Linked DNA regions of Saccharomyces cerevisiae S288C. The protein of the gene in region 1 interacts with the protein of each later gene in a biochemical or structural test. Each region holds a gene or a part of one and is shown on either strand. Other genes may lie near its edges. The genes, in order: RHO3 and TOS7.

Region 1 (3,196 bases):
TTCGCATAGGTTGACCAGAAGTGTTCAGGACTACGAATCAAAGATGTTTTCCACACAACATACCCAGTTTTACGGCGATTCCCCATATATGGATTATCCCGCCAAAGAAAATTTCCAAGATCAGGTCCATATCAGCGAGTCCGATATTAGTCCCGGAAATAAGGATGAATCGGTGAAAGATGCACTTGTATCTCATACTAATAATGAAAAACCATTCTTAAGTAATTTCGAAAGGCCGCTATTCTCTCTTGCATCCGAATCCAACAGAAATTCACTTTTCATTTCACCAACAGGTGATATCTTATACAAAACAAGGCTATCTAAACTTTACCAAGAAAGCCCTAGATTATTACAGAAACCTGTGATTATGACAAGTGATAATGTATCTACAAATTCTCTGGTGTCTACAATCTCTTCATCATCCGCATCGTCGCTCGATAACGGTAATGAAAAGGAGGTGGGTGAAGACATAAGGAAACCCGCAAAAATTGCATCTTCACCAAGTCGAAAGCTGCTTAATTCACCAGAAAGTGATGGTAGCGTAAATCGTAACCATAGTAAGGGTAATTTGTTGGTCGTACAGTCCAAAAGAAAACCTACACCTTCGACTTATCTCGAGCACATGCTGGAGGGGAAAGAACAGGATGAGTAAAAACTTTTATGATATTTTGCAATATTTTTTTTAAGCAGTGGTAGTAATTACATAAAAAATATAAAATAGTAGGAGTATTATTAACTTCTATAACTTATTATATTATTTGTTTAGTCTCTCTTTTTGGGTTCTATTCTTTTGTGTGTGCGTCCGTGTCTTATTATATTACATAATGGTACAGCTGGATCCACTGTCACTTTTCACTTCGGTTGCTACTGGGCCCGCGGTTAAAGCAACTCTTGCGGCTTCTGTGAAAGCTTCGTTGACACCTTTATTCAGCTTAGCGCTACATTCCAAATAACGTAGCGCACCGATCTTTTTAGCCATAGCTAGACCTTCTTCATAACTTATCAGGTTTTTGCCGTTTGAGGTGCTATTTATGTTATTTCCGTTGTCGTTAGAAACGCTGTTATCCTGTTGGATATTGTTCGGTGTGATTGCGTTAGATTCATTTTCATTGTTTCTTAAGTCACACTTTAGTGCAACTAAGACTAACTTGACGCCTTCACAATGATCAGTGATTTCACCCACCCATTTATTTTGGACATTTTCTAAAGAATCGCGTGAATCAATACTGAAACATAACATTATACATTGCGTATCTGAATAAGACAAGGATCGTAACCTGTCAAATTCCTCTTGGCCCGCAGTATCCCACAACGATAGCGTGATATGTTTACTGTCAACGAAAATATCATGGATATAGTTTTCAAAAACAGTAGGCTCATAAACTTCGGGAAAATAACCTCTGGTGAAAACATTCAGCAACGAAGTTTTACCACAGGCACCGTCGCCCAAAATAACGATCTTTCTTTCGATCGGTTTATTTGACGTTGAAGCTGACCCACATAGAAATGACATGTTTGTTTCCCTTTACCTTGTGCTACTATGGATTTTAATGAAAAACTTGTTGTTATAAAGTAAAAAATGCTGACCAGAGCTAGAGATGAGAACGATAAAAAAACGAAAATCAATGGTTGCCTATTTTCCAGTAAATTCAAAATAATACATGTTTTTTCTTTCTTTTTCTTTTCTTTTTACTGTTTACCAATTTTCAGGAATGTTAAGAAAGATAAAAGAAATATACAAGATGCCATTAACGGGTAATGGCACCAGTATATCTATGACGGGTAATCCTGTTAGTGGATGTCAAAAAACGTTCTTGGGGTTTCCCGGACGCCTTACACTATTTTGTAAAAAAGCTCATCCACACCCCTCTCCTTGTATTTCTTATCTATAATCTACTATTTCTCGCGTAGGTGCGGTAACGCTGTTCCAAGAAAAAAGTTGGCCGACGACTGGTTCTGGGCCGGGCTCGACCGGAAGTGGTAAGTGGCCTCAATTTGAGTTTCGCTTACTCCTTCCATTCTTACAACACACCCGAAGTTTAATTCACGTGACCAGATAAGGGATTTATTATATGTTTATTGTAAAAAAAATAAGGTAGATAGACATATTACATTTCCTCGTGCTTATCGAAGTATTTTTCTTAGACATCTCGCATGACCACAATGCTGGCTCGAAGGCATTTACTCTTTCCTTGGGGAGATGTGCTTACTGTGATTGATTATGTATTCTTGCGTGCATCTGCAAATCTGCGTTGACTAATTTCGGAGTCTTTTAAACACAGAAGCATTACAGGCCCCTCTCCTCACTTGTGCCCAGTATGCAAGTGTGCTTTCCTGTGAAAACTCCTTCATTTTCTTTTCTTACGCATATGCATAGTCGGATTCCAGCTATTTCCATAGTAAAGAAGAAGAAAAAGTAAATACTTCCTTTTCACATGGGCCGGCCGATGCAGGTCCTCAGGTACTTCGTTTATAAGCTTATATAAGCATGCAAAATTAAACGAGGTGGCTGCTTTAAGAGCGTGCAGAATATAGTCACTTACTACCCTAAGTTAGGACTTTGTCTTAGGAACAAACACATCAAAAATGTGCAGAACAACAAGCCCGCGGGGGTTTTTGCGGTTGACTACTCCTGCTTCATGTCTTTTCTCCCCTGCCATTTGTGCTTCTGGATTTGCTTGAAGGTAACCTTAAAGGATCTGCGCATCTTTCTCTTACGAAAACAAGTATAAGATTTTGCCTGGGCAAACTTAAATTACGGAAAAAGGAGTCGTCGAGAATGTTGCCCTTCCACATTTGGATTAGCTGATAAACGTAAATTGGGGGGGGGGGGGGTCGGTTAAATTTTGTCGACGGGAATGGAATTTTCTCTGGTATTTGCCGCAGCTTGCAGATAGTAGAGCCGATCTTGTGAGGTTAACACCGCATATGGCATTCTGTTGCAAAGTTAAAATGCGTCACCCACCCTAGCGCCTAGGGTCGAGTACTGTTTTAAACTTTTTCAAGACCGGGCGTACCATTGTGCTTGTTCCTTACTTCGTTATTTTCTTGCATATTATATTGGTTGAGATTATTTCTATGGACTATATATAAATAAGGGACGGTCGTATTGTTCTTTTATGTCTGCATCCTAAAGAGTATTTTTTTTTATAGTCTTGTTTTCTTGTTCAAATTAAAGAAAGATCTAATAGTTTTC
Region 2 (4,481 bases), on another chromosome or scaffold:
ACGTTGCAGAGACAGCAACAGCTTCATGACACTTCTGCAGAAGCATATTTGAGAGAACGTGACGAAGAAATTACTCAGTTGGCAAGGGGTGTATTAGAAGTGAGCACTATTTTCAGGGAAATGCAAGATTTGGTTGTTGACCAGGGGACTATTGTGGACAGGATTGATTATAATCTGGAAAATACAGTGGTAGAGCTAAAAAGTGCAGATAAAGAGTTGAATAAAGCAACACACTACCAGAAGAGAACTCAAAAATGTAAAGTCATTTTATTACTAACATTGTGCGTAATAGCGCTCTTTTTCTTTGTTATGTTGAAACCACATGGCGGTGGCAGTGGTGGTCGTAATAATGGTAGCAACAAGTACAACAATGATGATAATAAAACAGTTAATAACAGTCATGATGACGGCAGTAATACCCATATTAATGACGAAGAGAGCAACTTGCCGAGTATCGTTGAAGTAACAGAATCTGAGAATGATGCTTTGGATGACCTACTTTGATGACAAAACTTTCACGGTACCGCATCGCGATTTTGAACTATAATATGCTTTGAAGAAAATTGAGAGATTTAGTCAGCGTTCATATGACCTGTTGCTCGTTCTATTTGAGAAAAGTGAAAAGGTTAATATATGATTTCAATAAAGTATGTAGTATGATAATAAAATACAAATTTATATGGGATAAAATTGAACCGCAAGTAAAGACTGGCGAACGAATATTGTGCATAAGTAGTTCCTGAAGATGATAAAATATGGTTTAATACAAGTTGGTGGTTATTGTGATTTGTAGAATATAAAAAAAAAAAAAGAACCTTCATTTTTCTTTTTTTACCTAAATCCGTAAGGATTGTTCAGTGAAGTAGTAGCTCGGGGCAAGTTTTTGTTTTGCATTCTCCTCTTATAGGCAGGCTTATATCCTTGTGTTATCGGGCTTTGGTTTGGTAAAGGATTCGGAGCAAAACCGACGCCTGGTACCGGATTTCTGTGCTGTGGCACTTGGTTTGGGGCAACGTTGAAATAAGGATTGCTTTGTAAAATAACATTAGAAGGATCTGGACCAGCAGGAGTAGTTCTTTGATATAAATTGTATTGATGATATTGCTGCTGTGGTTGCTGTTGTTGTGGTTGTAGTCGTTGTTGGGGATACACTAATGGCGCCGGGTGTGGCTGACCAGCGTACGGCCTTATATTTGCAGGACCAGCGGCTGTTTCTCGAGGCATTTGATTGTATACTTCCGGATTGACACCTCTCTGTGATATTGAAGTCAACGTTGAATCTTTATCGTTGTAGGAGGACATGCTGTTGATGTGGCTATCGTTTGGTTCATTGAAGGAGGTCTCCATGATGTCGTTTAGTAGTCTCGAAGGATTTCTGTGCGGTATGACCTCTCTTTGAGAGTAGTCTGAGGACGCTAATGATGCACTGGATGATATTTCCGTTTTTCCTAGCGGAACTTTATAGTTTATATTGTTGCTGGTGTTACTACCATTGTTTCTCACATAATTATTAGAAACACTCCCATTTTTCAAGCCACTTTCACTTTCAATGACAGAATACGTTGAAGTTGACCTCCTTTTGTCATAGGCCATGCCATCGTCCTCTTCTTCATTAAGTCCGGAACCATTTGAATTTTCCATGTCCTTTGCTTCTTTATCGAAAGTAGAAATATCAGACGTGGTAGAAGTGGTTATGTTTGATAATTTCGGATCTTGATTGTGTGAAATAATATCTGGGACAACAGTGATATTAGTACCGTTCTTAAAATTGTCACCCAATAAATTCGTTCTTGAATCACCACGGAGGTTGGCCTCACTATCAGCGTCGATATCGAATCTCCCGGACTTCGAACTTAGATATGGGTCATTCAGCAGCATGCCCTTTTCTTCCAGTTCCTCGGTTTCGTCATCATCCCTTGAGCCTGAGCTTCTTGAATAAGCTGAGAATATCAAAGGAATTACTAGTAGAGATAAAGCAGCTCCTGGTATCAGGACCCATGAACACCAGGTTACATGTGGGTAAAACAGTAAAAATACCACGATACATATCAAAGAAGCAGAAAGAAAGCCTAGAGTGGAAAATGTCAAATTAACAAAAAACATGATGGCAGACGCACTACCAACTCTATCACTGGATAGCACGTTAATTAATAAAACGCTCATGATGGTACAAAGAAATCCCAAAAAATTAAGACCAGCAGCAATGGGTGTGATAAAGATGATTTTCCCCAATATAGACCTAGCGTTGCTATTGAGTTTCCAGTTGCTATCACTGTCTGATAGCTCATCGGGGTGATAATTATAACTTGCTTTTGAGCAGGAGCCCTCTTTACAGTAGCCGAATGTACCGTATGTGATCTCATCATATTTAGAATAGCCTATTTGTTTGAAAATTGGAGCCGTAATGGATCCGATAATGAGAAACGCCATAGTGACGAATTGTGATAGACCCACAAGGAAGAAAACTACCGAAGAATTTTTCTTCATAGCCTTTCTTATATTATAATCTATTAATGTTTACTAACTTCTCTGCTATAGCTTGAGTGAAAAATGGTATGTGCTTGGACAAGCTAAAATGAAATGATGGTCTTTTAACGCTGTGCCTTGTTGTTTCTATTGCCTGACACCTGAAGATATAAGTTATATATCGGAAAGAGAATGCAAGAAGAGACAAAATTATGACTAGCTGATCAAGAGGGTTTCTTATCAACAAGGATAAGAGACAACAGGACATGCATTACCGTGGCTTTCTGCCCACCACAGCGACAATGCAATATCGCTGACGCCTGCCTCTTTATTCAACTAAAAATATCTAAATATCAGCTGGAGCCAGCCGTCTCTTTTCTTCAGATGTGCCGTGATAAGCCCTTTTCGGCGCCCACGCGACGCGAATTGTTTCACACGGTAGGATAAGAGAAATTGCGTACAGCCACGAGAATTCGACTGCAACAAAGGTGTTAGACATTGCAGACTTGTTGCAAATTTGATTCCTACGGCAGGGAAAGATGCAGAGGAAAAAAATACTTGTTCATTCTTGGCAGATAGATTGCAATGCGAATCAAGTAAAAAAGCTAAGACCAGCGATGTGCAAAAGTAAAAAAATATCTCCCGGGGGCGAGTCGAACGCCCGATCTCAAGATTTCGTAGTGATAAATTACAGTCTTGCGCCTTAAACCAACTTGGCTACCGAGAGAAGCTATTTTTGTGTAGGTCAAGAATTGATGTCTATATATATTATTAATTTTATTGCGGCCTGGCTCGAAGAAGTCTTCATCCACGTATTCAAATGATAATTTTTCAAAATGTCAGGTTTTTTTTTTATTGTCATGTCGTTATGCATTAAATGATCTGGAATAATTAATTATGAAGGATGAGTACTAGAGAAGAGAAAAAAAAATATTCTACAAAAATAAATTGAACTTGTTTCTTCGGTATTAACACCAGAAATGGAACTGTCTCACGTACCATGGACGGGAATCTAGGTACATTTTCTTTTCGGCAATTTCTTGCTTGACTATTTCGATGTCGATATCTTTACGATCGGTTTCCAAATCTATGTCCTTTAACGCCTTAACCCCCCACCATTTGCCTGTTTGACACTTGTAATAAATTTTGTGGACGATGAATATAAATAACATGATTAAGGCACACAGATAATTTTGAAAAAATATTTTAGCCCTTTCTTTGCCGCTGGTCCAGCCACCAATGGGCCATAGTGAACAATAGAATTGAGCTATCAAGATTAGACAGTTGATTAAAGCGGAATACGCTGATCCCCAAATCCCGACAGCACTAACAAATTCTAATTCATCCAGAGACTTCCCTTGAGCCTTCATCGCCAGTCTAAATCTGATATGTGACAGGTTGATGCTCAACCAGACAATGCACGTGGCCAGGCCGGCAATGGCCATTAACCAATTGAAAACTTCAGACATCGAGCCAGATTTGACCAGAAATGCTAGTAATCCAAATAGTGAATTTGCCATAATGCCAACCAGTGGCCTACCAGCACGGTCGATATAACCAAACCACCATGGAATAAGGCCTTGGTGGGCCATCGAACACAACGTTCTACTTGAAGCGAAGATGCAGGAGTTACCTACACTCAAAACACTGATAAGGATGACCGCATTGACGATGGAGGGCAAGGCTTTAATGTGATGCAATTTTATGGCAATGACAAAAGGTGAGTTGTCCACAGATGAACCACCCAGTAAGTTTTGGTTTGTATATGGAACCAGGAATCCTACCAGGGTCAGTGATATCAAAAAGAAAAATAAGATCCTCCAAAACACTTGCTTGATAGCACTTGGTAAGCCTTTGGGGTCCGTTTCACCTGATGCCAGGCACGTCATTTCTATACCACCGAGAGAATACGAAGCAACAACAAGAACAGATAGAACGCCCGGGAACCCATTGGCCAAACAACCAGGGTCGTGCCAGTATTTGGCGCCAATGAACTCGTGGTCGGGACCTCCACC

Evidence for each region.
Region 2: the proteins of RHO3 (region 1) and TOS7 form a complex in vitro, tested with the Saccharomyces cerevisiae proteins (one study listed by BioGRID).

The regions. Positions count from the first base shown.
Region 1 is NC_001141.2:138,069-141,264, reverse strand, and holds RHO3 (Rho family GTPase RHO3), read right to left. Parts: upstream 1,514-3,196; coding exon 818-1,513; downstream 1-817. Other genes in the region: pheromone-regulated protein PRM5, read left to right, coding at 1-652. UniProt on the Saccharomyces cerevisiae protein: Plays an important role in cell growth. Required to keep the uninucleated state. Modulates morphogenesis during bud growth via directing organization of the actin cytoskeleton and the position of the secretory machinery for exocytosis.
Region 2 is NC_001147.6:286,904-291,384, reverse strand, and holds TOS7 (Tos7p), read right to left. Parts: upstream 2,488-4,481; coding exon 832-2,487; downstream 1-831. Other genes in the region: t-SNARE syntaxin TLG2, read left to right, coding at 1-504; YOL019W-A (uncharacterized protein), read right to left, coding at 2,813-2,965; aromatic amino acid transmembrane transporter TAT2, read right to left, coding at 3,435-4,481. UniProt on the Saccharomyces cerevisiae protein: Protein involved in secretion and cell wall organization. Contributes to cell surface-related functions as a auxiliary component of MCC/eisosome that specifically interacts with the secretory pathway.